Linked DNA regions of Caenorhabditis elegans. The protein of the gene in region 4 purifies or fractionates together with the protein of the main gene of each other region. This does not show direct contact. Each region holds a gene or a part of one and is shown on either strand. Other genes may lie near its edges.

What was found.
Region 1: the proteins of gck-1 (region 4) and farl-11 purify together in Caenorhabditis elegans (affinity purification with mass spectrometry, with the first as the bait; one large-scale study listed by BioGRID). This does not show direct contact.
Region 2: the proteins of gck-1 (region 4) and copb-2 purify together in Caenorhabditis elegans (affinity purification with mass spectrometry, with the first as the bait; one large-scale study listed by BioGRID). This does not show direct contact.
Region 3: the proteins of gck-1 (region 4) and rpl-3 purify together in Caenorhabditis elegans (affinity purification with mass spectrometry, with the first as the bait; one large-scale study listed by BioGRID). This does not show direct contact.

The regions. Positions count from the first base shown.
Region 1 is NC_003280.10:7,099,739-7,107,959, forward strand, and holds farl-11 (DUF3402 domain-containing protein), read right to left. Parts: upstream 5,298-8,221; 5' UTR 5,264-5,297; coding exon 5,233-5,263; intron 5,193-5,232; coding exon 5,014-5,192; intron 4,972-5,013; coding exon 4,825-4,971; intron 4,781-4,824; coding exon 4,631-4,780; intron 4,585-4,630; coding exon 4,405-4,584; intron 4,356-4,404; coding exon 2,880-4,355; intron 2,665-2,879; coding exon 2,580-2,664; intron 2,533-2,579; coding exon 2,071-2,532; intron 2,022-2,070; coding exon 1,795-2,021; 3' UTR 1,480-1,794; downstream 1-1,479. Other genes in the region: mmaa-1 (Methylmalonic aciduria type A homolog, mitochondrial), read right to left, coding at 64-153, 273-1,329, 1,373-1,425; rpl-35A (Large ribosomal subunit protein eL33), read left to right, coding at 5,831-5,880, 6,105-6,267, 6,312-6,449, 6,496-6,519; F10E7.9 (Amino acid permease/ SLC12A domain-containing protein), read right to left, coding at 6,753-6,863, 6,907-7,116, 7,160-7,528, 7,577-8,166.
Region 2 is NC_003282.8:9,457,033-9,465,604, reverse strand, and holds copb-2 (putative coatomer subunit beta'), read right to left. Parts: upstream 5,875-8,572; 5' UTR 5,869-5,874; coding exon 5,707-5,868; intron 5,638-5,706; coding exon 5,149-5,637; intron 5,104-5,148; coding exon 4,970-5,103; intron 4,921-4,969; coding exon 4,688-4,920; intron 4,576-4,687; coding exon 4,260-4,575; intron 4,213-4,259; coding exon 3,861-4,212; intron 3,806-3,860; coding exon 3,564-3,805; intron 3,517-3,563; coding exon 2,679-3,516; intron 2,607-2,678; coding exon 2,466-2,606; intron 2,394-2,465; coding exon 2,298-2,393; 3' UTR 1,585-2,297; downstream 1-1,584. Other genes in the region: F38E11.6 (Adenylate kinase), read left to right, coding at 54-243, 292-377, 433-534, 582-682, 731-839, 1,262-1,291; cutl-17 (PAN domain protein), read left to right, coding at 8,267-8,312. UniProt on the Caenorhabditis elegans protein: The coatomer is a cytosolic protein complex that binds to dilysine motifs and reversibly associates with Golgi non-clathrin-coated vesicles, which further mediate biosynthetic protein transport from the ER, via the Golgi up to the trans Golgi network.
Region 3 is NC_003281.10:3,865,320-3,871,230, reverse strand, and holds rpl-3 (Large ribosomal subunit protein uL3), read right to left. Parts: upstream 3,378-5,911; 5' UTR 3,369-3,377; coding exon 3,004-3,368; exon of another isoform or gene 3,002-3,003; intron 2,903-3,001; exon of another isoform or gene 2,787-2,902; coding exon 2,651-2,786; exon of another isoform or gene 2,649-2,650; intron 2,603-2,648; coding exon 2,162-2,602; exon of another isoform or gene 2,160-2,161; intron 2,027-2,159; coding exon 1,763-2,026; 3' UTR 1,644-1,762; downstream 1-1,643. Other genes in the region: tir-1 (ADP-ribosyl cyclase/cyclic ADP-ribose hydrolase), read left to right, coding at 1-631, 788-905, 954-1,048; acs-19 (Acetyl-coenzyme A synthetase), read right to left, coding at 4,401-5,229, 5,281-5,607, 5,666-5,781, 5,906-5,911. UniProt on the Caenorhabditis elegans protein: The L3 protein is a component of the large subunit of cytoplasmic ribosomes.
Region 4 is NC_003283.11:8,945,305-8,952,287, forward strand, and holds the start of gck-1 (Germinal center kinase 1), read left to right. Parts: upstream 1-3,399; 5' UTR 3,400-3,403; coding exon 3,404-3,931; intron 3,932-4,180; exon of another isoform or gene 4,181-4,353; coding exon of another isoform or gene 4,354-4,386; intron 4,387-4,679; exon of another isoform or gene 4,680-4,941; intron 4,942-5,433; exon of another isoform or gene 5,434-6,126; coding exon of another isoform or gene 6,127-6,144; intron 6,145-6,553; coding exon 6,554-6,778; intron 6,779-6,983. UniProt on the Caenorhabditis elegans protein: Serine/threonine-protein kinase which is required for normal oogenesis and suppression of germline cell apoptosis. Inhibits phosphorylation and thus probably activation of mpk-1 during pachytene stage.

The DNA.
Region 1 (8,221 bases), on a different chromosome or scaffold from region 4:
AATTGCAATTGAACAGGTGGTTTACAAATGTAGAGTTATAAAGGGGTAAAAATGAGGAGTTGCCTAGACGCCGAAGAACGTTCTGATCATTGTTTCTGCAGCCAGACCAGGGGTGATTTTTCCACTTCGAATTTCATTTTCCAGTTTCGGTGCCTGTAAAATTGAAAATTTAGAATTTATCAAACAGTATTTTTTTTTAATTCAGTATTATATTTTTTGCAAATTCTTTTGAAATATCGTTTTGATGGTGTATTTTAAGAACAAAAACGTACCAAATGTGCTATTTTCGGATGCTTTTGGAAAACGGACATAATTTCGTCTTTAACATGATTCCACATCCATTTTTTCATTTGATCCTGTCGCCTTCTTTCCAAATCTCCTGATTCTCCGATTGTATCCCAGAATTCGTACAAACTCGAACAAACTTCTGATACAGATTCTTTATCCATAATTGAGGATCTCATAACTTTTGGACGCCATACATCGAGTCGTGGTCGCATGAATTTCAACGCGGAAATGTATTCAGCCTGTGTCATCTTGGCTTTCGCTTTCAAATCTCCATCATCTTTCGTCACAACCAACAAATCACTCATCTCCATAATACCTCGTTTAACACCTTGCAATTCATCTCCATGAGCAGGTGACAACAGAAGACACATCATATCACACATATCGGAAACGGATGTTTCAGATTGACCTACTCCAACAGTCTCAATGATAACAATATCGTATCCAGCACCTTCGCAGAGGATCACAGCTTCATGAATTCCACGAGTGACACCACCGAGCGATCCAGAAGTTGGTGATTGACGAATGTAGGCTTTGGGATTACGAGATAATTCTTGCATTCTTGTAAGATCTCCAAGAACAGATCCTCCCGTCATGGCACTAGTGGGATCAATTGTTAAAACTGCAACTTTCTTTCCTCGATTTTCGGTTAATTCTGCTCCTAATGCTTCAATGAAAGACGACTTTCCTACTCCTGGACTACCAGAGATTCCTACTCGAAATATCATAGAATCTCTCCCGAATTTCTTGTATTTCTCTCGTTCTTCATCTAAAACCATCTTCAACAACATATTTCCTTGTGCTCTTTTTGTCGGATGGCGAGATTCAACTAGTGTGATTGCAGAAGCCAGGGCAGCTCGACTTCCGCTCATCAATGATTTGAAAAGTTTCTGCACATTTGGATCATCATATGTGACAGAGTCATCCCAATGAACACGAGAATATTGTTCTAATAGATTATCAAATGGCATTGATTTCTGAACTCCAGTGACTGATGGAATATAGGGTTTTGGAGTTGAAGATACTGCTAACGATGCGTGTCTGAAAATTCTATTTTCTTGATATTAACGATAATAAATCTCACCTACAACTAGCTGAAGTGAGTCTGGATACCCGAAGCAATGATCTTACTACCATCTGAAACAATAAGATAGACTTGGTAAAACGCATAGTAATAGAAATAAGAGATATCAAGTGTTGAAACGTTTCAATGATCAAAATAACAAAACAACGATGTTATGTAAACAATTGAATTCATTCGGTTTTAGTCCAATTATTGGTTCTGACAAGGAAAAATTAAATATTTTCGAAAAATGATGGTTGGTAAAGTATAAGGGGGCATGGGGAGATCTAAAATTTCAAACAAAATTTCGATTTACAAGTTAGTTATCATTGGGGAACAAGGGAACAATAAAGATGAACTCGTTTTTATCGTTAAAGAAGAATTAATAACTAATAATTAGTTATTTACAGATTTTTGTTCAGTGGAAACGGGATCGAATCGATTTACATAAGATCTTCCACTCCACGTGTCTCTATCAGAAGTTTATCCCAATCAATACTCGCATTGAAGACTTCCTGTTCAAGCCACTTTTCGTAATCTTTCTTAAAATGACGTCCAAGTTTCAGATTTGCACCAAGAACAGAGTGAGCACACGTGTCAACGGGCTCAAAATCTCTCATATCAACTCGATTCAGGTAGTCGTCACCAGGCATTGGAGCATCATTCACTTCTGAAAATTTAATTTTTGTTGCTATAAGCTTTTGTTATTTTAATCTTACCAATAGCAAATTGAGGATATAATGCCGAATATCGTCTACTATGGAATCTTTCGATGCTTGCTTTGATCAAACTGTCTTCTTTTTGATAATCACACTTTCTCTTGATATCAGAAGCAAACGCCCAATCATCGGTCATTCGATGTCGAACTCTCGAGTAGATCGCCGAAATTATGTCCATATTACTTTTTCTCCACTGGCGTCCAAGGTATCGTGATTGCATTTTGATCGCTTTCAGCACGTAAAGTTGTAGTACCGATACTCGTACTTTGAAAAGTCTCTTCAAAACTGGAGCAGATTTGAACACCATCAGCATTTTAACTCGATCGTTTTTAGCTTTGACCAATTTGTTGAGTAGACGAATGAGATTGATTGCGAAGAAAACATTTCGCCACATGAAATACGGGCCAGCGCCAGGTGGACGTGGTTCTTCTATATTGTCTTGAGTCAAAATTGGCCATTCTTCTGAAAAAGGAATACGAAAAATTTAGTTTGGAATAATTAAGACTCACCATTATTTCTGACATAATGGTACAAACATTGTGGATAGTTGTAGGCGTAGATTTCATGTCTTGATTGGATTAATTTGTTTGTGTTCTGTAACAAAATGAAATGAAAAGCAGAAAGAAGAATCTGATTTTGAAGGGAAGGGCTTCAATTTTTAAAGTCTGCACGTATATTTCACATGCCACTCATTGAAGAATGAGAAACGCAGAGAAAAGGGTGGGGCGATGGATAGATCGAGCGGCAAATGAACTTTGGTGAGGCAAGATCGCTTTTGGAACTTTGCAAAAGAGCAACAAGTGACATACCTGATCGAGAAACTTTAAAATCAAGGGAATTCCATTCACATATACAATCTGTTGGCAAATGTATTCGAATTGATAAATGTGATTCAGCTTGAAGTGCTTAACTAGCAAAAGAAGAATTGCTGATAGTGATTTAACGATAATCTCTTTATGGCGGTTGATGTCAATGGCAAGTCGGAATCCTTCCTCCAATGGAGAAGATGTTGAATTATCGAGGGATATTGAGTTTGATAAAATATCAGATGCTTCCATTTCAGGCGTTAAGCAATCAATCAGTACATTTAAACCTTCATGTCGTGCTTTCGTTGATGGCACTGACGAAACCATAACCTTCACCAGAGCACAAATATATTGACTCAAATTTGGCAAAATTTTCCTGTACAATGTTTCGGTTTTCGTTTCTGGGATATCCTCCTTCATTGAAAATAGATAGCGATTCAGTTCTTCATCTTTTTTGACTTGCAATTCTGTAAGTGACGTGTACATGTTATTTCGAAGAATTTTTACAGCTCCACAGAAGGAAGGAGGCAAGCCAAAAAGTGTTGTATCATCTCCAGGGTCAAAATCATAGTTGAAATACTTGAAACGACCTTTTTGAATAAAATCTTCAATATCCTGAGCGTTCGTTTTGCTTCTCCAAGGCAGAGTTTTCTTCTGGATTACCGGGAAAACTGGGGAACCAACTCGTGGTGTTTGCTCACCACTTCCCTGTCTGAAATTCGAAGCAGTATCAGGAATGGAGGGTGGGGTTGATGATGAAGCGCCTGGAGAATCTTCTTTCTTTGAAGCAATCGTTGAGTCTTCGGAGCTCGCTTCCGAATAAGCGTCTTCGTCTTTTGAATCATCATTATAAGCCATTTGACGGGCCATCATACCGCCTCTCGCAAAACTTCCAGCTCTATGAGCCATATTACGAACATGTTCTTGGTCTTTTGCGATAAATGCGGCCTGTGATGCAGCTACAGTTATAGTATCCTCCATTATATCAAGGCCAGCAGTCATTCGTTTCTCTCTTTTACGAACAGTAAGCTCCTCCCAACCTCCAAGCGTCAGCAATAAAATTTTCCAGATAAGCAGGACAATCTTTTTAATTGGAAAATGTGGTGCAGTTCCTATGTAGAACGGATGAAGCATGTCGAAAAGTACAATAAGAAGAGGCTCATTTCCATTTTCGATTGGTTCTTGAACTTCTTCGCGAAACGCTTTTCTGGTTTCAAGATCACTATCGGTTTCGTCTTCTCTTCCAGATCGCTCATCGAGAATTTGAACAATCATATGATAAAGTCCAGCGAGAATTACGCGAAGCATTTCATTATCAACCATAGTTGGCAACTGCCGCGTTCTCCATTTTTCAGAATCCGAGAGATCGGCTAAACTGGCATTCCTGCTACTTCTTGAGCTTGCTTTTGAAATTCTCCCGTCGTTCGGTGGGCTCTCAAATGGTTCTTTAATTTCTGTCATCAACAGAGTACACAACGCCTGAAAATGTACATTTTTAAAACAATGATTGAAAATTATAAAGATATACCTGGTAAACGCCGTTCTTATAACAAATGAAAGAATTCTCGATTGCACGATGGTAGACCATTGAAGGGCCCTCAGGGTCCATTTCTTTGGTTTTTCGAATAGGGACATTCATCAACAATTTTTGATCATACTGATATTCAATTTCCTCATTTTCTAAACATCCAAAGTCTGTTGCTGATCCCTGAAATTTAAATAAATATATATCGAATAACAAATGAGAGACAAACCTGGAGCAGAAAGAGAATTATACGAGCTGATTTCAAACGAACTTCCAAATCTGCACTTTCCATTCGAGAGCAAAGGTCTTGAATAACATAATTTTTTTGGACAGCACTAAATTCTTCGAATGTCGATGGAAACTGTTCGTGCTTGCCGTCCTGTAAAAGAAAAATAACTATTTTCCTGTTGTAAAATCGCTTGCATATGATTCCTCTATATATTCCTTCCAGTTGCTGATGTTAATACCGAACTCTTCTATTTCAGAATAACTGTAAAGTTCTGCCATTTCACGAATTCCTGCATCACCGTCACCATACTCGAAATCTAGATCTTTATCAATGGCGGCAACCTGCAAAACTGTATTGTTTTTCAACTTCTTCATGAAAATTACATTATCAGAGCTTTCATGATGAATGAATCCGCCATACGCTGGAGTTATCATAGGCTGAGCTTCTTTCAGTTGCTTCAATTTCAAAACATTTGCTGATCGTCTTGCGGCCAGTGAGCTTTCGGAGTATTCAACATGTTCATCATCAGCACTTCGCCTTTCTTTGTCACCATAAACTGGAACTATTAGGAGGTTTATTTGATGATATATTCATTTTCTCACCGTCTTCTGCAAAATTAGGCCTGATTCCCATTACATTCGGCTTTCTCGTTCAGTAGAACTAAAAATGAGTATTTTATTCAATTGTCAAGCGCAAGCAAATTCCGTAAGAAACTATTATATAAAAAAACAGGAAAGCAAAAACAAAACAATATTTTTTGCAATTTGCTAAACAACACGCACTACGACACTCCGCTTTAACGTTTAGATGTGCAGGCATTTCTACCGTAGTTATTTTGCGCCTCGACTCGTTTTACGGAATTTTTTCTTTTCTTTTACCAATTTTCATGCTGGCCTACGAATTTTTTGAGCAGAAAATGGATATTTTTGTAATAAAATCAATATTATCATGTTTATCTTATTCCCCGCTGTTCTCTTACTTGGATCATTTACGAAAAACCACTTTTTGATTTTAGGACTTCGTTAAATCTCGATTTTTTGTAAAAAGTTTCAACTTACTTATTCTTCGCAATTATTCTCCAGTCTCATAAAAATTGTTAAAACAGTTATCTGAAAAATGTTCATTTGTTATTTCGTCGCTATTTCGTTTCTCCGTCCACTTTAAACTTCTTCACTAAATTAATTTTCGTTTCAGGTAAAAATGGCTGACACCGCTGTTGCTAGAAGACCATCGGCCCCAACTACTGGACGGTATGTTTTTGCTTTTTTTTTTTAATCAGTGACCGCTGGATATTTTTGAGCTCTGCTGAAAAATATTCAGACTGCAAATTCTTCATATAGTCTTTAAAAAATGTATAGTAGCATTATCCTAACTATTTCTAGTCTTATCTAATCCGCGGCATTTTTTTCCATTTTCTCGGATCAGCAATTCACAAATCAGGACATCAACAAAATAATAATAAATTAATTTTCAGTCTTTACGTCAAAGCCATCTTCACCGGATTCAAGAGAGGACTTCGCACCCAATCCGAGCACACCTCGCTTTTGAAGCTTGAGGGAGTCTTCAACAAGGAAGATGCTGGTTTCTACGCCGGAAAGCGCGTCGTCTACTTGTACAAGGCCCACAACAAGACTTTGGTATCGCACATATATTTTTCAGTTTAATTTTTTTTTCATTTTAGAAAACCGGACACACCGTCGCCACCCGTACCCGTGCTATCTGGGGAAAGATCACTCGCCCACACGGAAACGCCGGAGCCGTTAGAGCCAAGTTCCATCACAACATCCCACCAAGTGCCCTCGGAAAGAGAATCCGCGTGGTAAGATAATTCTAGTTTTATTCAATTGCACATTGATTTCTTTCAGCTTCTCTACCCATCCAACATCTAAGTGGTGATCTTCTGTTATTGTTATTGTTCGCAGTTGTAATAAACAGTTGTGACTTTGAATGTACGTTTTAAATTGTGCAAAATCACATTCTATTGAAAACATTAATTCATATAATTGTAAGTTTATTGTGAAACTTTCTCTTCTGGAAACGTATATTTTCTAAAGTTTTTATTAACAAAATTGGAGCGATTTAAGGTTTTAAGGATGAATTATAGTTTCTATTGTTAATAAGATTAATCTAATTGATGAGAAACATTCTCCGAGTGATGATATTGTCGTCTGTCTTGATAATCTGGATTGGCCTCGTTTTGTTGGGAACTCGATACGCCGCTCGTAAATGTTGTCTGAAAAAAAGAAACTAATCCTGGTTCAAAAATTCGTTCTCACCTCTGGCAAAATTGTTGTGGCACCTGATCGCAAAGAATCTAATGAAGAAAACACTGTTTTGAACATGTGACATAACGAGAAAGTTGAAATTCCCGGACCACAAGTTGGGCAGACTCTTCCAATGTACCAATACAACGCGATGAGAGCGACAAAATGAGCTACAGCAAACCAGAAATGAATTAAGAGAAGGATTGCCAAGTTCACCAGAAACTGAAAAAAATACTTGAAAAACTTTAAGATATGTACCACTCACTCCCAGAAAAGACACGTATCTGTTGCTGAACATGGAATACCATGTTGCTTCTTGGGAAATTATTCCAGTTTCAGTTTCCTCAGTGCTTGTAATATTGACATCTCGTCGCTCGGGAAACAGCTCATTCAGATCGTTCATCTTATTCGTGGATCCGTAACCGACAGTTTCAACTTCATCTGCATGTTGTACAGTAGCCAGGTCATAGCTCATTGCAAGTGATACGTATGAATAGTTGACATATGCATAAGTTATCAAAAAAGGCATTGTTGAAAGAATGGCAAGTTGATTGAGATCTCCTAGAAGTACGAATAAAGATGCTACACCCATTAAAAGATATCCAGCTAAAACAGGATTATCATTGGGTCCAACCTGAAATTATAAAAAAATAATTTTTGCGCAGGTCCTTATGAACTATACCCCTCTCGCAAGAACATTCAAACATGGTATAATTCCTTCTTCAGCTATGCCTTGTAAAACTCTAGGTGTTCCCAGTAGTGATCCAACAGTTGACGAAAGTGAGCAAACATATAATCCAACAAGGAAAACGATTCCAGTCAATGCAACTTTTTCAGAAATCATGACATCACAAAGTAGGAACATTCTATCTCCAACTCCACCAAGAATCATAATAAAAATAAAACAGATTGTAGAACTGACACCAACAGCAGATAATTCTCCAAGTGGAATGCTTTTATGAGGATCTTTTAAGTCACCACTCATGTTTACACCCGCCAGGACTCCTAGGAAATTGGCAAAGAATACTCCGAAAACTGTGAAGAATGATTGCTCAGGAATTTGACGTGGAATACCAATAATTGAGCAATTAACAGCTTCATAATGAGAATCTGCATTCACTCGAATTCTTTCAGATGAGAAACGGAATACACCAGATTCCGGCTCACTACTGAAAAGAGCTCCAAAAATGAAATCAGTTACTGCAAGAGCAATCGTCAAGAGAAGAACAATTTGAAGACGGACAACCCAAGTGACACCTGCTGTGTTGACTGCTGAAAATTTAATTAAAATTAATAAAATGCAGGATAAATATAATTATTCGGACGC
Region 2 (8,572 bases), on a different chromosome or scaffold from region 4:
GATTAATCTATGTGTCTCGTGTGATTAATTCTTCTCAAAATATAAATTTCCAGAAAAGAATAGCTGAATATCATACATGTGCCGAACCATTTCTTCAATATTTTCGTAAATCTAGTCGAGTTGTATCAATGTCATTAACAGCAGAAGCCGTTCCAAATCTTGTAAACACCACGAGAGAGACGTTATTAAAACTTGGATTTACAATGACAAGGAAAGATGATCACATTATTTGTTTCACTACTGGTAATTATATTTCTGTTTTAAAATGATTCTCAATAATGTTTTTTTCAGAAACAGCACACGATGACATTGATCTAACATATTACAAGTTGAAGTTAGTGAATGCTGGAGAATTGGGTAGAGCAAGTGACAATTTGGTGAGTTTCCAAATTAAATTTTCAACTGAACCATAAACCTTTTTTAATTTTTTAGACTGCTCAGATCTCAGCTGTATACCGGTATATTGCAAGCCATAACCGCCATGATGATAACTTTTTGGTAGTGGTTCCAAGTTTCAAGAATCAAGATGCGGAGGTTTCATTTTTAATTTCAAAAAATATATAAATAATTTTAATTTCAAGTTGCAGAAGTTCAAACGGATTAATTTTATGGAAAAGAAGAAAGAGGTTTATCTGGATGAATTTATCAAAAATAAGCAACACGACAAACCTCCGAAAATGAGGTTAATCTCATGATATCCAATACCCTAATTATTATAATTTTATTTCAGAACTCGAATTGCAGTCAATTGTATTTCATCGTCTCGTCAATTATTTCTATTCTTTGAACCATTTCCAACAAGTTTTGCTCAAAATATATCTCTTCTATATCTTAAACAAGTGAGTATTGTTTCCCACTTTATGGTGCCTGTCCCGTCCCTTCTCCATAGGTAATACAACCGTTGGCGAAACCCGCAGAATGTCCGCACATGTATTCATTCTAATTCAAGAGGAGAGCTAACACTTCAACTCTGGTTCCTCTGCATTTAACCGTGAAAATCTTTCGCCTTTTACTAAAGATTTCCGTGCAAAGGAGCATACATTGAGTATTATATACAATTTTTGGAGTCCCCTTGAGAAAGCGGGACAAAATTAATCACATGTTTTCGTATGAGTGATGGATCGTAAAAAATCAAGGAAATGTGAAATGTGTAGATTCAAAAATAAACATTTATGAGAACTGAAAAACTAGGTTATTTAAAGAAATCTCACAAAATTTCGACATGTTATATCATATTGTTATAGTATCATGATCATTTCAGAAAGAACAAAGCCAACCACGAGACAGTTGACGGGGTGGCGTCGAGTCGGAAACATTAAACAAGCGGCGAAGCGAATCTTCCGAACGAATTTCAAGACATACTGAAGAGCCACCAATGGAAAGAGAAGCTCGTTCAGTTTCGGCTCAACCTCGTCAAATGGGATTCCGTGCCAAAAATCGTATCGGATTGTCGCCGAATACGCTTTTTCCGTATTGAAATCGGCTCGACGCCTCTTATCATTTTGCTCCTTTTTTGAAGTGCCTTTTGATTATCACTTGTGTAGACATAAATATCTACAAATTGTTCCTGATCAGCCACACATACACTTTCTGTTCCGTTTATTCAAACACGGTTAAAAGAAAAAAAAATCATTTCAATCAATAAAACTCTCATTACATCATTTTTTCGTTAACACGAAAGTTTTGGGGAGGATGATAGTAGAAGTGGAAAAAGCCATAGAACAAAACTTCGAAGAAAACCCCTAGAATACAAAAAACACCGCACAAAAAAGCTGGAAATAACTTAGTGTTTACTTATAAATCAGAAAGGGCGATAAACATAAAAATTCAATAAGTTATGTGATTTTGAAGGCAGAAATATGAAAACGGGGAGGGATGAATTGGGTGGATAGTTGGCAAAGGGAGCTTACGACAGGAGTGACCAGTAGAAATAAAAATCACAAAAAAAGACGAGTGCGCCAAAAACACTATAAATTACATAATTATTTGATAAGAAAAACATTATCACATTCCCATAATACTAATTAACAATTTCCCAAAGAATGTTAGAGAGTGACCGACACCAGATGGGTTAGAAAAAAACCTCTTTTTGGGGTGAAACATGAAAAATAAAATAATTATCTATCGATCGATCTGCTCTGAATCATTCGTCAAAAAATTGTGCATGAAATTACGGATGGAATGGGGACATTGATAGGACGGGAGGGGGGGGGGGGGGGGCTTAAATTACATACACAAAAAAATAACACTGATACTCAGTCTTTCTGATCTTGTTGGGCAGATCGATCGACTACCAGTCAATCTTCCTCGTCTAAATTTAGATCGTCCATATTCAGGTCTCCATTTTCAGCATCTCCAAAATCTTCATCTGACCATTGCGTATCATCTTGGAACTGTAATTGGATTAATTGATTGAATTTTCGCAGTTTATATAATTTTCAAAACATTTATAAATAAATACTTACATCTTGAGCAGATTGTTGTGAAGACGCGGAAACCAAATCTGGAGCGGCGGACCCCCGTGGTGGGACAATATCAGGCCGGCTTGTCTCAAGAACAACATCAGGAGTTTTAGATGTTCCATGAGCATCGGCACTTTCTTGATTCTGAAAATAAATTGGTGATTCTAGCAACGAATAGTCAAATTCCATATGAATAAAAAACTGTTCAAAACGTACAGCTGGAACATGCACCTCTTGCTGATCATCATCGAATTCTTCCTGTTCTTCCTCTTCTTCAGGTTCAGGTTCGCGGATCGGTGATGGCTCACGAATAGGGGATGGCTGGCGTACAGGCGAGGGTTGACGTGCAACTGATGGAGGAGGTGGAGCTTTCAATTGTGTCTCGGTTTGTCTTGGGGCATTCTTAAGTACTGCTTGGCCATCATCAGTAAAAGAAACTGCTCCCGAAGCAACAGCTTCATCCAATTCCTCTTGAATATTCCGGGTAGCAGCTGATGGCACTCGAACGGATGCTGGGACTGGAATCTTGGAGATCTCACGAACGAAAGATTCTGCTTTCAGTGATTGGGTAAATCCAGGGAACAAGTTTTCATACTTCACTGGATCGGCAAGAGATTCTCCAATCTTTCTGCTACTCTTTTCGCTGTGTCCCGAAGCCTTGGCTTTCCACAATTCAAGAATAGATGAAACTCGAGACGGCGCATGTGTTCGAGCAAGGAACGCTGCTTCTGGGAGGCGACCAGTCGAAATAAGTTTGTCTAGACAAGCATCAATATCTCCAAGAAGCAAACTACTGAGGAAGCTGATATTGTGGCTTTCGGCAGCAGCAGAGTCATCCGCAAGTTTCTGAAGAAGAGGAGCTGATCCGGCACACGTTGCAAGAAGCATTAGACCTCCGAAATCGCGAGCTCTTCCAAGACATTCACCAGCAAGAAGAAGTTCCGACTTAAGAGTGGCGGCGTTGCTGAGAGCCTTCCATTTCTCTTCTGAATCGCTTTGCAGTGCCAAATCGTAGGCAGTCTTCAAATCTCCAAGAGCTACCGAGAGATCGAATCTGAAAACGTTCCAAAATTATTGCTGAAAAGCTGAAAATTGTCTTACTTGTGATCAGGGTCTTGAGAGACCGCAAGAGCCTGCTTCTTGAATCCTTGCTTTTCGAGGAAATGAGCAACACGAGTTCTCTGCTCTTTTGGAATTGTAGTAAGTACCTTGTCAGCAGTATCGAAGTCACGGCGCATTACAGCAGTTTGATATTCAAGAACAGATAGAAGAAGTTTGTATGAGATCACGTTGAGATCCTTATCGACGGCATAGACTCGAGATTCCTTAGCCATGTATCCCAACTAAAATATTTAAGTTTTAAAAATGATAAGAACAACGCATGTTTTAAAATCTCACCAAATAAAGTGGTCTATCAACATGAGCAATAGTGACAATTTCTCCACCGACATAATAGTTGATTCTATTGAGTGCAGTGGTGAAAATAAAGCAGTCCCCGATCCAGAATCCCGTCTTCACAGCTTCTGCCTGTTCTCCAATAACCTCAAACGCGTCTTCAATACCGTCTTCGGTCACTTCTGTTGCATTGGCAACTGCTTCAGCACTGTACTTGAGAACGTAGAATGAATCATCTCCACAAATTGCGACCATCTCTCCGTTGTCACTCCAATAGATGCTCTTGGAAGTAATTTCGATACGACGAACAAGAACGGCTGATTCCCAATCAAAGAAGCACAAAGAGTTGTTCGATCTGAAACAAAAAATTAAATAAAAGTCAATTGATAAGAGTTCAAAAACCTCAAGGCAAGAAGTGGTCCACCAGAAATTCCCTCAAGTACCATATCTGAACGAATTGACTTGTGATCCTTGAAGTTCTTCTTTATCTTCACATTGGTGGCAGATTCACGGACAGCAAACATATTTGGATCAACAGCCCAGACAAACTCGAGTCCTTGTCCGAAATCCTTGTTTCTGAGAGCCATTGCAGTATAAACAATGTATTCTCCGTCACCACAAGCGACAACAAAACGTCCATTAGATGAATGAGCAAGGGTTTGTGGATAGATTTCAGAAGATCCGAGATCTTTTACAGAAAGCGGCAGACGTTCTCCATCTGTAAATGAACTGTCTTAGAGTGATAATAAATGAACACAATTTCTCTTTTTTTAATACTTTCAGAAAACATGTGCCGAACTATACAAAAGTCGAATGAAAGTTTTCCAAACCTTGAATGGCTTCCGACTCTTCAGTTGAGATTGTCTTCAGGTTAGCTTGCTGAATTTCGGAGTGCTTTGCCCACAAAATCTTTCCAGACGAATCCATACTGACTGCTGGTTCTTCTCGGCCTAATTTCAACGTGACGGAACCTTCGTCGTATCCGATGGCAATAGTGTTGGCTCCTTTTTGAGCTTGGATGCACCAAACACGTTCCAACCCATAATTCAAGGTTGTTTCCAGTCTAAAAATTTTAAATTGTTGTTGTGGAAATCGTACTTTAATGTTCTTGCCTGTAGGTGTTTGCATGCCACAATCTAACAGTGGAGTCTTCGGATCCTGTGATTATCAATGGCAGTTCTGGGTGGAAACAAACTGAAGACACATTTTGCGCATGTCCATCGAGCGTTTGCACACACGTTTTATTCTGAAAATATCATTTTGGATGAATGCAAAGAGAAAAAAAACTTACTTGGTAATCCCAAATCTTGACCAGATGGTCATCAGCTCCAGAAATAATGTATGGTTTCTCTCCACCATGATAGTAATCGACACAGTTGACTCCTTTCTCGTGTCCTTCCAAAGTGAAATTCGGAACATTCGATCCGAACTGCCATACTTTGACAGTTTTGTCAAGAGAAGCAGTTGCAAAAGTGTTATTATCTTTTGGATTGATGGCAATCTGCATGACATAATGAGTATGCCCTTCGAATGACTGTTTCATTGCCCATTTGTTATCCCAATCCCACATTTTAACAAGCATGTCGTCGGATGATGAAATGACGTAGGGAAGTGTTGGATGAACAACGAGCGATCGGAGATAATCAGAATGTGCTTCGAATTGATGAACTCGTTCCAATGTGTTGTAGTTGAAAACTCTAATATGCATATCGTCAGATCCCGTGACAACCCAGCTCTTTCTTGGAACGAACTTCGCTGCACGAACTGGTACGTCACACACCTGCAAAATTTAGATTCAGTTATTTCGTAATTTCATGAAGTTTGCACATAAATTTGAAAAAAAGCTTACTTCAAATGACTTTACAAGCGTTTGTGTTTCGTAATTCCAGATGTGAACATTTCCATTGTAAAGAGCAGCTAGAAGCCATGTTTCGACTGGATGCAAGTCGACACATTTCACGCGGTCCGAACGAGCCAGAAGCTTTCTTTTTACATCAAGTCGGAGAGGCATCTTGTTCTGAAAAAAAGCTAAAATAAATAAACTCAATGTAAAATTAAGCTGAGCACGAAGAGGAAGATTTGCAAATAGTCAGCTTATAGAAATAAAATAAAACCGAAAGAACATTCAAAAATCGATAATATTCTGGATTTTTAGAATTCAGATGTTTAAATCAACCGAAATTAATCTTTTTTAGAAGAAAATCTTAAAATTCATCAAAAGATACGTTGGCGAAACGATAGAACACTCAAAAGGTAGAGGCGCATCCATCGCCAACTCAGAAAGCCCCGATCGTATCGAGACCACAGCGGGAAAGTCGGCGTGCCTTTGACTTTTTTGTCTGCGTTTCTCACATTTGTGAGGTGTCTCTTACGAACGGTGGCTGCTTCGTGGCAGATTTTATAAATAAAATTGCATTCAGGAAATGTTGTAAAATGAATGAAAAAAAATTACGAGAAAAATCAACTTTTTTTGAAACTGATAGTGAAGTTGTTGAATGTTTATGCAAATTTTGCTCTGGACAACCTTAAACGTTTTAGATTTTTCAAAAAACTCAGTTATATCTTAAAATCGAAGAGGCCCCCTTTGCAGCCTTAGTTTTACCTGATTATGGCAATCTTCTTGCTTATTGTTGTGTTCTCCACAATGTCCAAACCAAGAGCAATATTATAGTAGAAAGAGTACTCGATACGAGTCAGGAATAATAAGAATAACCGATTTTGCTCGTTCTTTTTGTAAATTATCAAGAGAATTTACATAAATTTAGCTAATTATTTATGTAAAATGTGTGTGTGTGTGTGTGTGGAAATGGTATGATTCTTATAATATTGACAACACAATGCTCAAATACAAATAATCAAAACGTAATGCAACAACTGGTAGAAAATAAATAGCTTTCTGTGGGACTTCAAAAATATGGAACTTTTGGTCATTTTCGTTGTGGTTCCATGGTACGAACCCATGTTCATACAGGGTGGGCCAAAAGTATGGTAACACATGAAGCGCTCTTTTACATGAGATTTTCGCGCGACTGCCACGTCATACGTACATTTTTCTATCGAATACTGATAGCTGAATAAATTTCCTTCAATTTGACCCAAAATTTGTAATGTTTCCCAATAAGGTGCGATTTTAATCACCTCGGCAATTTGGCGAACCCTTTTTAAAACGGCATTTTGGCACGCGGCACTTCCCACACAAACGCACCTCCCACGCACGCCAATAATTTTCAGATGTATGATTTTTATGTTAAATTGAAAGTTAAAGAAATGAAGAAGCGTTTTTGATTGTTTTTGTAGCATATAAAAATTTTCTGTGTCGACACTGGCGCCTAGCAAGAACCTTTGAATATTTCATGAATTAAACTTTCCGAAATTTACTCAGTTTTTTTGGTTTCACAAGGCGTAACGACCCACAAAATCAGCAGAGCTAATTTTTTTCTAAAAATTCTGAAAATTCAGGTCAAACCGTGCCAAAAAGTACTAAAATGAATACTGGTGCCGCCGCTCACATCCATCTTTCTGGCGACTGTGTCATTCAAGACCTAAACTACTGCCACAGTCCGTACAGAAATACCACGATAGAAATTTTTTGGATTTTTGTTTTTAAAGAATCTCCAGACCAAGAGCATTCTTTGAACTATAAAAACTTGTAAGATACTTGATGGATTCCTCGAGAAAAATGTAGAAATCCCGCAGAATGCCGACTTGCGTGCCATAAAGATCGTGATCTCAAAAGTTCTGAAGGCCTGCAGCAATGCGGATGGGGATATTTTGAAAATTCAAAACGTTAATCTGGTCAGTATTTTATGGAGAACAAAACTTGTACACATTGATGTAATAACTCCCTCCACACGTGAAGTTATAGAGCTGCAAACGTGTTACCATACTTTTGGCCCACCCTGTATTTACTAATTCTGTGCACGACTTATGAGGTGAACAACGAGTCTCTTGTTCTGTTCTCTGTGTGTGTGTTAAGTTGCAACCTTGATGCAATTAAAAAAAAAACCCAACGAATTTTTCTCTTGCTTAAAAATTCTCAATTCAGAATTTCTTTCAACTTTTTGACGGTTATATAATTACCGAAACATGTTTCGATACTGTTCGTCATTTGGCACAGTCTCTCTCTTTTTCTACCTTTCATTCCGAGGGGTTCATTAGCCGGACAGGCGAGCGAGCAATTATCGAGTGAAAAGAGAAGTCAACGAAGATGACGAAGAAGAAGCTGCCTTCTATCTGGATACTTCTCATTGACGACTACACACACAATACAATAATATTCAGGTCACCGATTTATTGAAACGAACTAGAAAGACACTTTCCCATTCAACCTTTTCTTCCGAGAAAACGGCTAACGTTGCTAACTTCAAGTTTCCTCAGTTCCGAAAATTTTTCACACTTTTTGAACATTGATGCTTGTTATTACTTTACTTGGTTTTCTGGTTCCTATACTTCAAGGTAAGTTCCCTAAAATTCACGTATAATTTAGAAATCTAACAACTACGGTATAACCATTATATGTAGAACAACATATATTTTTCAAGCTCTCAGGTGGTTTCAGAACTTCTTTCAGAACATTCTTCCGGCAACCATTACTGTTCAGAAGAAATTGGCATTAATAATATTTGAATTAACTCAATTAGTTGAAAAAAAACGTCTACAAATCTACGCAGGCGACAAACATTGCTCAACTTTTTAATTTTACTTTAGTCAATACT
Region 3 (5,911 bases), on a different chromosome or scaffold from region 4:
CTACCAAATGCTCACAAATGGAGTCAACCGGTCTCTTCTCTCCTCACTCACCGACGAAATGATGCAAAACGCTTGTGGAATCACGAACCCGATTCATCGACTCAAGTTGACACAAGCATTTGAAACCGCAAAACATCCGGATGACGTGGAAGTTGCAATGCTCTCCAAGCAAATTGATGTCTTCATTTCATACAGAAGAAGTACAGGAAACCAACTCGCAAGTCTCATTAAAGTACTCCTCCAACTCCGCGGATACAGAGTGTTCATTGATGTCGATAAGTTGTATGCTGGAAAATTCGACAGCTCATTGCTCAAGAACATTCAAGCCGCCAAACATTTCATCCTTGTTCTCACACCAAACAGTTTGGATAGACTTTTAAATGATGATAACTGTGAGGATTGGGTGCACAAAGAGCTGAAATGTGCATTTGAACACCAGAAGAACATTATTCCAATCTTTGATACTGCATTCGAATTCCCAACAAAAGAAGATCAAATTCCGAATGATATTCGAATGATTACAAAGTATAATGGTGTTAAATGGGTTCACGACTATCAGGATGCATGTATGGCAAAAGTTGTACGTTTTATTACTGGAGAGTTGAACAGAACGACACCGACCACCAAAGAAGTGAGTTTATTCACAAAATATTATATTGCACGAGCACAAAAATTTGAGAATACGTAATGGTAACAAAGAAAACTACAGTACCTCCTTTAGTGACTACTATAGCTCTTTATGTGCTCGATTTTCGAAGGTTTTATCAATTATATCTTTTATTTTCAGATGCCTTCTATCTCCCGAAAAACTACCCAACAACGGTGGCAGACCACAAATACAGTAAGCCGTACTGGGCCATCCAGAAGCATCGGTGGACCAAGAATGGAACCTCCTACGCCAACGTGTAAGTTGTTGAAACATCGTCACTTGGTATATTATTTAATTTTTTTAGTCTTTTCAGTTACACCAACTGGATCACAAGAACGTGCAACATCGACGAGAAGGAAAATTCAGCCTTCTGCATCCACAACTTCCGATCGGAATTAAGTCTCTTCTTTAATCAATACATCAAGTGCCGGTTCATTTTATCCATTTTCCAACAAAAAACCAATTTTCTTCAACCATCCCAATATCAAATATCAAACTCCCAATGTCTTTCAATCATCCCACACGAAAGTTTTAATGTATTTGACCCTCATTTTAAATCAGTCAAAACCTCAAAAAAAGTGTTCCACAAAAAACTGGAAATTCAAAGCGTAGAATCTATGATTTCAACTGTCTCTCTCTCTTCCTCATTTACCCAATGCCCTGCCGTTTTCTGCAAATAATAATAATAATTGTAATAATCTCTATAAATTATGTGATTGATGTCTTTATGAAACCAAAAAGAAAACTCTGAAACTTCACTTTCTTATAATCTTTCTGTTTATATATTCCGATCTCCATCTGTTTCATTCGTTTCACTTTTTCTGTTTTATTTCCTGCAACGTGTAATAGTCGATCAACCCCCAACTCAGGAACCCATCAAATTCGAACCCTTTAACTCCCTCTTTAAATTGAACTTTTTATCTTAACAATTACCGGGTCTAACACCCTTCCAGATTTCTAATGTTATACCTAATGAATGTTTCGGATTATTATTCTTCAATACAAGCAGCATAGTCCTTCAGATTCAACAAAAAAGCATACTCAAAGTGTATTCAAAATGTGAACAGTGAAGAAACATTTGATAACAATAACAATTTATTTGAATAAACAAATTTAAGCCTTAGCTTCGGCCTCGGCAAGGAAATCTCTCTTGAGTTTTCCCATGAAAGCACGCTTCTCGGCTGTGGTTTGGAAGCGACCGTGTCCGGTCTTGGAACTGGTGTCGATCCACTTGAGGTTGATCTTCTCGTGGGCGACTCTCTTGGTTTGGGTGATGAGCGACTTGCGGAGGGTGATAAGACGCTTCTTTGGTCCGAGAACGGCTCCACGAAGCATGATGTAGTCCTGGTTGACGATACCGTATCTTGGGAATCCTCCCTAAAACAAAACAATTATTAAAAATTCATGAAAATTGATTACAACGCCCGATGTTCTCAGATAAAATATAGTCGCCATACAGAGTACGAATTGCAGACTTTTTCTTCATAGAACGGTGAAAAAAATAAAACGAACCATTGGGGTGATGGTCTTCTGGGTAAGATCGAACTCGGTGGATCCGTTGTTCTTTCCTTCCTCAGTGAGAGCAGACTTTCCAATACGGTAGATCTTGTTGTTGATGATGGTACGGTGATGGAATCCCTTTTGTCCAGCACGAGCGACAGTGAAGGCGACACGAGATGGATGCCAAGCTCCAATACAGGCGACCTTGCGGAGACCCTTGTGCGTCTTGCGAGGAAGCTTCTTGGTGTGCCATCTGCTGGTGACTCCCTTGAATCCGTGACCTCTGGTAACTCCGATGGTGTCAATCATCTCATCCTGAGCGAAGACGGTATCAACCTGGACTTGTTTCTCGAGATGCTCGCGAGCCCAGTCGACCTTCTGCTCGATGGTTCCTCCGTTGACTTGGATTTCGACGAGGTGAGCCTTCTTTTGGCGACGGCGAAGGATCTTCATCTGCAAAATATAACTTAAGAATACAAACAAACTAAATATAAATATTACCTGAGTGTGAGCGATCACACGGATAGAAGAGCAGTACTTCTTCAGCTTGGCGAAATCAGCCTCGATGAGCTTCTTTCCATCCTCATCTTGCCACTTCTTGGCGTACTTGGTGAAAGCCTTCTTCTTGGATTTAGCCCTGTAGTTTCTACGATTACGAACAAAATGCCTTTCAGCGTACAGGACGCTTTAGCCACTCAGTTCGTTTACCATCATGTACATAAGTACAGCGGAAGGCAACCGACTTAGAAACGCGACTGCAAATACAGACTTGTAATCACGAAACCACCAAATGACACCAAAAACGCACCATAACACTGAATACAAAAAACGAAATAGTTGAAAAATAAACTAACCAGTTGCTGTAGAAGCGACGACGAGCTTCCTCGGACAAGTGCTCGGCCCAGATGGTGGTAAGAGCACGTGGTCCTTGTGGGGTGTCGACGTATCCGGTAACTCCAGCAATAACCATTGGTGGGGTCTCGACGATGGTGACGGCTTCGACAACCTCCTTCTTGTTAACCTTTGATCCTGGCTTATCGACATCACGGACGATATGGGTCATACCGGCCTTGTATCCGAGGAAAGCGGTCAAATGGATTGGCTTGCTCTTGTCATCCTTTGGGAAAGCCTTGATTCTTCCACGGTAAGTGCGGGAGCGCTTCTTTGGGGTGAATCCCATGTGTCCATGTCTCGGGGCCGAAAACTTTCGGTGAGACATTGTTGTACCCTGAAAAATATTAATTTTACGAAAAAATTATAGAAAAAGCATGAGCGAACAAAGAATAAAAATTGCGTTTTCGGTTAAAAAATTTTTTAAATAACTACTTTTCTAGACAGATACTAATTTGAACATTTTAAATTTAGAATTGCACGTAAAAAAACAAAATTTATTCGAAAAAAACATGAAAATTTTAGGCTAAAACAAATTGAAATGAAGTTTAGGCCAGTGAAAGGCGTTGGGAGACCCACACACTCGGCGCACACTTGTGCGTCGCAAAACACGCTTTTACCGTAGCTGTGGCGGCGGAGTGTACAAGTGTACGACAAGCGCGGTTGTTTGAATTCGATTTCTTTCGCAGTTGGAGAGATTCTGCAAATAATAATGTTTTTAAATACATTGTTTTTTAACGGGAAATATTCATGTAAATCAAGTTTTATTTTGAAGCATCATTATATAATCAAGAAAATCGATTTGCTTTGTTCAAACGGCCTATCAAAACAACACACTTTATGCTTAAAATAATTCATTTTCCTGTAATTTTGCAATGCAAGTTAAATCAAATATTATTTTGTATTGAACTTTCGTGGTTTTTATCATAATTCATAAAAATTGAGCTAAACATCAGATTCACTGGGCATATGAAATGCATTTCTCCATGTAAGTATTTAATCTTCTTCTTGTAATTTCATGTTTCGTGTTTTAATTATCCGAATAAGCCAAAATTGTTATCTGAAAATCTGAAATTGAGTTAAAACAATTAATCAGTTCTGAATCATTTACTTGTTTTCTAATTTCGAATTCAGGGTTCAATAAATTACTGGGGGAAATTACAACACTGGAATTTAATTCTACACAGGAGTCAATCAGGGAATGCATCTTGATTACAAAGAAGGTCATGTTGGGGTTAAAAGTTTAGATCTTGCATTGATTCTGCAGAAATTACAACGATAGAGGGGGAAAAGAGAAGTAATACAGAAAAAGTAACATTAATAGTAAGAATTGAATTGATTTACAATTGTTCAAGTTCGTTTATGCACGTGCAGAACGTCCAGAGATTAGTTGTTTGATGACAGATTCGTCGACTAGAGTAGTAGTATCACCGATTCCACTTTCGGATCCTTCAGCAATCTTTCTCAAGATTCTTCTGGTAACCTTGCCGGAACGAGTTTTTGGAAGTCCTGGAGCTTCTTGGATAACATCTGGAACAGCCAATGCACCAATTTTCTCGCGAACTAGTTTCTTGAGCTCAGCCACAAGCTTTTCATTGATTCTCTCTCCAACATTCAAAGTGACGAATGCGTATGGGAAGGATCCCTTGATGTCATGTGGAGCAGCAACAACGGCAGCTTCAGCAACTTTCTCATGAGCCACAAGAGCTGATTCAATTTCAGCAGTAGACAGAAGATGACCACTGACATTCATCAAATCATCAACACGTCCAGTTATCCACAAGTATCCATCTTCATCACGTCTGGCACCATCTCCAGTGAAATAGTATCCATTGAATGGAGCCAAATAGGTCTTGACAAAGCGTTGCTCATCTCCATAGATTCCACGCATCATTCCAGGCCAGGCACGATCAAAGCATAGTGATCCTTCTCCCGGACCTTCAATAACACGACCTTCAGCATCCAAAAGAACTGGAGATGCTCCGAAGAATGGCATTGCAGCTGCTCCTGGCTTCATTGGAGTTGCTCCTGGAAGGCATGTGATCATGTGTCCTCCAGTTTCAGTTTGCCAGTAAGTATCCACAATGGATACATTGGAAAGTCCAACTTGCTTGTACAACCACATCCATGCAGCAGGATTGATGGGCTCTCCAACTGTTCCGATAACCTTGAGAGTTTTGCGAGAAGAGCTGAAAATTAAAAATAAAGATGCTGAACAATTATTTTTGAATAATTATTACCTTTCAAGCCACTGATTTCCGAGAGCCATAAGAGCTCTTGCGGCTGTTGGTGAGGTATACAGCTTGGTCACACCATACTTATCAGTGACATCCCACATTCTAGAAGGAGTCGGATAAGTCGGCACACCTTCATACCAAATTCCCTTGAGCCCATTCATCAAAGGTCCATAAAGAAGGTACGAGTGTCCGGTGATCCATCCACAATCGGCAGTACACCAGTAAACATCGTCTTCTTGTGCATCAAAAGTGTATTTTGTGGTTGCGTAGGCGTACGTCATGTATCCAGCTGTAGTGTGTTGAATACCTTTCGGTTTTCCGGTTGAGCCACTGAAAATTAACAATTTGAATTAAATGAGAAATAAGTAAATTCTAATTCTGAACTAACGATGTGTAGAGAATAAATAGCGGATCTTCAGAATCCATCCATTCTACCGGGGAATCCACGCCTGCACACTTGAGCATCTCCGAATCGTAGATGACGGTGATATCGGTGTAATCGACCTGAAAAATGTTTTTTGTTGTAATTTTAAATGAAAAATCAATAAAACTTAATTTTTTTCTGGTTTTTCTGAATTTGAGACTACTTTGAGCATTTTAGAGCATTAAATTTATTATATTTAGTTACCTTGGG
Region 4 (6,983 bases):
AACGGCGTGATTTACGAGCCAATTTCGACTAATAAATCGACTCTGGCCAATTTTGGACCACTAATTGCCAATCTGCTGATTCAATGATTTAAAGTCTGCCGGAGGAACAAACGACTTTAGTTAATTTAAGATACGCGAATAAAATAGTGTTCCAGCTATTGAGATGAAGTATACATTTCCTTTAATAAAAAGGAACACTGAAAATATACTTTTTTAAAAGTTATAGTAAAACTAACCGTAAAACTAACGAATCAGTATCAAAGTGATTAATCAGCATGTCTTGGAACAGTGATCAGATATAAACTAGAACTTTTTATAATATATTTTTATACATACAGTAGACTTTATAAAACCAAAACGAAAATTGATTATTAGGGAAACTTTCTCCTAATTATTAAAAGGAGAAAGAATGGTTTCCAAAAAAGGTAACCAAATGCGAGAAATATTCTAAATACAGTTTTGCGCATATCAGGAAGTGTGCATTGTGGCAGATTTCGAGGGTGTGCACCATGTGTGTCAATGTGGCAATGGACCTGATGGGCAAATCGATATCATACTGCTAACACTGTTTGGAACATTAACTTTTATTGTCACAAATAGAAAACACGGAGAAAAGTTTTCTACATTGGAAGTTGTTGAATCTATCATATTAAGAAGACTACGGTAAAAGGTGCGACCGATAAATTTGAGTGAAAAATCCAGAATGGCATGCAAATCTTGCCATGCACCTTCATATATCCATATCGGCAAATTCAATCGCTTTTACTTTTTGAAATATGTCCGAGGGCATACTTTCACACAATCTCTCTCTCGCTAGTTTTTAATGCAAATTGTAGAAAACGACATGGAAGAGAGAGTGGATAAAGAAGAAGAAGTTGAGATATTCCGGCAAAAAAAGAAACACTGAAAGTGAATTGTCTAAAAAGGGCGAAGAAAGGGGAGGATATGAAGATGAAAACGAGTTAATAGTCTTCCGATGGCCATGTTTAGTCGTTCGAATGGCAGGAAGTCAATCTAGACATCGTGCCAATTAAGGAGAGCTTCATTGGAATGGCAAAAGTGTACACTACTGTTGTTGCGTAACAGGCGGGGAGAAAAAGGCTAAGGGACTAAGATATCAAGGTTTATCACTGAGGACAAGCGGGTTTTTTAGCCTGTTGATTATGGGCGAGGTCGACTGGATAAAGATATGATAAAAAGATCTGAATAGAGGTGATGACAGATTGAGAAAGAGAGAAAAGGCTTCAAAATGAATTGAAAGATATACAGAATTAAAAAAAATCAGGGTGATGATTTAATGTTTCTCTGTTCTTTTTCATCAGAGGAAAGAAAACTGAAAAAAAACTGTGGAAACAGTAAAATCGTAGAAAACGAAAATAGAGAATGAGAGTTTAATAAGATGATTCGAGAATTTCAAATAGTATCCAACTGTGAACATCATTTGAATAATTTCAAAAACAGAAAGGAATCCGGACACTATTGCGGATCAGGTGGATTCTTTGAATAATTAGACTGATCCCGATATTTTCGAATCAAATTGTTTTTGTGATTGATGTTTTGTAAACGTTTTTCGATTTTCTTGATCACTTTTTCTCTATAGAAGTAATACTATCAATTTTGGAATATGTAATCTGCAATTGTAGGCCAAAAACAACAGTTTTCTCTGATTATGAGAAATACGTTTTATTATGAATGCTACTTTTTTTGAGCTCTAAATACCAAAATGAGTTATTTAAAATGTTCAACTACCGCCGTATTTCTAATAGTCTAGCACGCTCAACTGCGTCGGCTCATATCTCGAATACATACATTTAAGTTCATCAAAAATTGATAATTGCCAAAAACATTTATATTTCTCATACTATAGTTTTTAAAATTCTTTCTTTGGTATCTCAAAAATCATCCGAGATAAAAGGTGTCAAAGTAAATTAATGTGTGCAAGACTATTAGAGGCATTCCGGGATGTATCCAGAGGGTTATCTGACTGTCTGATCTTCAGTTATAGTGGAAACATCTTGCAGTACTTTGTGACGTCACAAATGTTTTTCTACTGCTATGTCACAGTAAACTGTTTGTATTCTGTTGTAAGAAGTATTTCAGGGATTTCAGGAAATTGAATAGTGAAGTGTCTCTACCGTATTCCTCTATTTATTAGTATTCTACTTTGTCAGCTTTTATATAAGTTTAACATACAACATATTTTTCATTCGCTGTTCCTATCGTTTGTAGTTAATTATTTATTGATTCAAAATAAGCCTTTCAGAATGATGTAGCAGGATGCAAAATTAATAGAGGTGATACGGTAAGCGTTCAAAACGGTCAGACTCGGTTACTGTAGTTCTAAATGTGTTCACTATCCGCGCATCATGTACGTGATCACGCGTGAATGAGTTTCTTCGTTTTCTCTTGTTTTACCAACAAAAATTGTTTCGTATTCTTCCAACGTGGACTATTTCTATTATTTTTCAAATCATTTCACATTAAAATGTTTTAGTCATCACAATCAATGACAACGACATCATCAGACGAACTTCCTCGACAGGCGGACGACGATTCAATGAAATGGGATCGAATTTATATTCAGGTAAGGTTGGAGAATACCTCCTGCAATGTCCAAAGTAATTGTAAAACACTATTGACCGTTGAGATTATAAAAACTTTTGCGGGCCGGCCGACTGACACAACAAATATGAATAATCCGAAATTGTACTATTTTCCTCGTTCTGTCATTTTCTTCCTTACGTGTCTTTCACTCCGAAAAATGACCTCTTTGAGCACAAAAAGCTGAACTGACTTTGTATCGAATTTCACCCATTTCGCGACTTCTTTCAAGTGTGCACGGTCTGAGAATTCGGTCTAGGGTTTTCACTGCTTTTTCGATTTCTCGATTTTCTCAACTTCTTCAAACATGGCGGCAAAGTTGACCAGCATCTCTGTTGTTTTCTAAAAATAATTTTTTTTTTCAATTTATCTTATAAAATTTTGTAAAACGTATAATTCTAATGATTGCGTCCAAAAATACCTAATGTTTCACAAGACATTCGAAATCAGGTCGGATTTATTTAAAAAAATATATATTTTAAGAGTTAAAGATTTTTTACAAGAGTTAAAAAACGCTGGATCAATTAAATCTGTTCGGTTTTGCTCTGAACGATCACACTTGTGTTTGTCGAGCTGTCATTTCCCTTCTTATTTCCACAGACGAAACTCTCTTTACTCGTGTTATCGAAATGCATCACGCATCAGGAATTTTTATGGCATAATTCTGCCTCCTTATCGATTCGCTCGTTTCACCTATCGTTTTATTTTTTTGGCGCCTTCTGTCCTTTCTCTTCGATTTCCTTTTGATTTGCATTTTCGCTTCTGAAAAATCGGAGCTTGTACAATTTTCATTAATTCAGGTATGGACGATCATCGTTTCACTGACACAATTTTGAGAACAACTAATGTTCAATCTGCGATACAAAGATTTGAGAAACGAGCCCCTGTTTCTGCTCCACCATATCGAGAATCTGAGCCATTCAGAGAAGTTTTGAAAGATGAACCGGCACCACCATTTTTACAAAAACAGAATTCCTATGATTCACCGTTGTTTGTCAACACTAACATTGTGTATCCTGTGGAACAAAATTCATATTTTCCACAAATCACACCTCCACGCGAGCATGTGACATATGGAATTATGAATGATTCCAAAATGGATGATTCTATCGATAGTGCCACGTTGAATAGATTCGAGACTGGTTTCAAACCTTCGAATTTCGGAAAAACCATACAAGGAATTTACAACTCAACAGAGCATCCACAGCAAACACCAGAAGTTGTACTACCATCGAGTTTATCAGTTGATCTGAATGTCATGTCACCTGAAGTGTCACCTCCAAAACCAGCTGAACGGCGGAAGGTGGTTAAACCAATTGAAGATAACAGCGTGAGTCGGAATTGAAAGCAGTGCATTATTATTTTCGAAAAACAATGTGACTCTCATATCAAAGTGTTTTATATTTATGACCGTTTTCGAATAATTTTCCCATTTTTAACAAAAAATGTAGACCTTGGATGGTTGACCAGATACATAAATCATTTTATAAGCATAAAAGATAAACCTAGTTGTACAAATTCCTCTTTCTGATGTCTTTACTAGCTAAATTTCATTGGAAATTTGCGAAAACTGGAAGCAATTTCACTAAAAATAAATATTTACCACTGTCTCTGCAAGTTGTCGTAAGATGTGGTGTTTGCGTACACATTTGAACTCTGAGCTGATGATTTATTTTCTTTTCCGTATTAGCTCAGTTTTTATCATTCCTTCCCCTTTTATTGACAAAATACTCGACCTCGAGTGAATTTTCAATGGATTTCACAAATTTTGGGTCCGAAATTGAGGTAAGCTTATGAATTTTCAACCGAAAACCTTTAAAAAATCTGTTTGTTGAGGGTTACAGTAGATATTTGCTCGGCACAAAAGTGCAATTGTGTGTAGTGTGTGTTTTTTAGTACTCTTTCCGTCATAGTCAAATACTAGTTTTGATTCCGATTCGAATTCAGGCAATTAGAGAGTGAAATTGTGTCGAATAATTGAGTGTTCCATTTCTGAACTGATACGCCACCACATGCATTCAAATTCAATTTGTAATGCCAATCACATTGAAACAGAAATGTTTTACGGGATTCTTATTCATTTCTCAATGGTGTCCTCATTCTGGCGCTTCCTTCCTGAAGTACGTCTACGTTCTCTTCCGTACGTCGTTCCAATGAATTTGTATCCGGCGGACGCGTACTGCGTGATGGTGGGAGGGTAGCCAACCGAAGCAAAACGTCCTCTCTCGTTCGGTTGACGAGGACTGTACGGCCGTCTGCCATACACTAATCTGTCGCTTTTCTCCTCATTTTCGATGCATTTTATCCTTCTGGAGTGGGGGCTTCTAATCCAAAACTTCGCTCAGCATCTCCCATTCTCTTCGATTTGTGTCACTTTCCAAGAAATTTATGAATCTAATCCCATAACAGATGAAGATGGTTTAAATGTGCGAAGTAATCATTCTTCTTTCAAAATCGTTACTACGTTGGAATGCAGTCTGTTTGCTCAAAACGTTTAGTATCCTCCTCCTTTATTCTCCCAGTTTCTCGGCCGTTTTTTCAACTGCTCGGAACGTACGCGATTTGCAAAATCGGACGGTTTTTGATCAGGCAGCGGTAATTAGCACTCTAATACCGTTCACACGTTCTTTCTCCACGTTTGAATACACAATTGCAAAGACTTTGTATTACTTGTGAAATTATTTATTTCATGACGTTTGTCGTTTTATTGTCAACTGCAATCGCCACAAAATATTATCTAGACGTTTCATGACTCTTTATGCTCCGGTTCGATATTTTTTCTTGGAATGGACACGTTTTCCAGCCCCACCCTTATTTAATCTCATACATATGTCTGATTCCACATGAACAAATCGAGTATTGATGCTCCAAAATCGCTACACTTGGGTTTCCTAGCCTATCCCGCTTCTTTCCTTCCCGCACAGACCACCACAGTTTCGGAATGTTTGAACAACACGGTGTGCTGCTGTTGCCGGTGTGACAGCGGCCCCCCGATGGACGGGAAATATCGAGAGATGGTGAGAAGCAGAAATAGAGAAGAAATTGTACGGAAGAGTACAGTTTGGTGGTGAGAGAAGGCGCAAGAATCGGACGGAGGTCTAGTTATGTTTGTAGTCCCAAGGCGTGTATTATATTCAGAAATGTGCTTATACGTCTTGTGAGCATTGCTTAGCGCTTAAAGTGATTTTAAATCGTTCGTATAGCTGAAATTTAATCGAAAATTAAAAATTTTCTTAATATATATTGAATCTCCTCTCTGTGTTCATTTTAATCACCTGTAGAAACGCATAAAGAGTAGAAAGTGAAAAGAGGGCGGGCAAGTTAAGTGTTTGATTCATCATTAGGCGCAAATATAGTTAGGAGCATAAGAGGAGTGTCGTGTGTCTAATCAGCAACTAGTCATACTCTGCAATCTACATACCACGCTCATTTTCTATCGATTTCCGTGTCTCTAACACCGTTCTGTTTGAAAAAAACTGTTTTTATTTTGGAGAAAGAATTTTACTATACAATTCAGCTTTCACTATGACGTTTGCTAATTCTGTAAGTTTTTTTGCTTCATCTTTTAACTTGCTTCATAAGCATAATAATTTGAATTATAATTGAAAAATGTTATTGGCTGTGCAGCCCTTTCTCTTTTTCTCCGCAAAAAATTAGTTTTAATAATGGTCTCGATAATCTTTTTTCTTTATCGAAGAAAATATTAAATGATCACCACACTTTAAAAATGCATTTTATTTTACATCCTCGTATAGTTTTCAGTATGTCTGTCGATATTTTAATACTATTTGAGTCACATTTGGGTTTGTGTACATGGGACAGTCATAAATATGAATCACGTCTCGCATATCGTTTTTTTTGTAACTGGTTTTTCTAACAGCACAAAATCATTATTTATTATTTCAATACATTCTACAAATTTTGAAAAAAAAAACAATTATTTTTTTTTCAGAAACTGGATCCTGAGGTGATATTCACAAAGCAAGAGCGCATTGGTCGCGGCTCTTTCGGCGAGGTTTATAAGGGTATTGACAATCGAACTGGACGAGTTGTTGCCATAAAAATCATTGATCTTGAACAAGCAGAAGATGAAATTGAAGATATTCAACAGGAAATTCAAGTGCTCAGTCAATGTGATTCACAGTATGTCACCAAATATTTTGGCAGCTTTCTCAAGGTATTTTTTTTATAAATGAAACTTTAAAAAATCTAAATTGTTTCTGTTTTATTTTTGAAAATTTTTTAAGAAATACAACAAAAAAAAGATAATAAAACCAATCTGAAACATTTTTGAGCACCTATTTGAGTTTTTTTTTCAATTACACGAGCAAAATAAATTAGAGCAGCTTTAGTTCTATTTATATTGATAAACTTTAGCAATT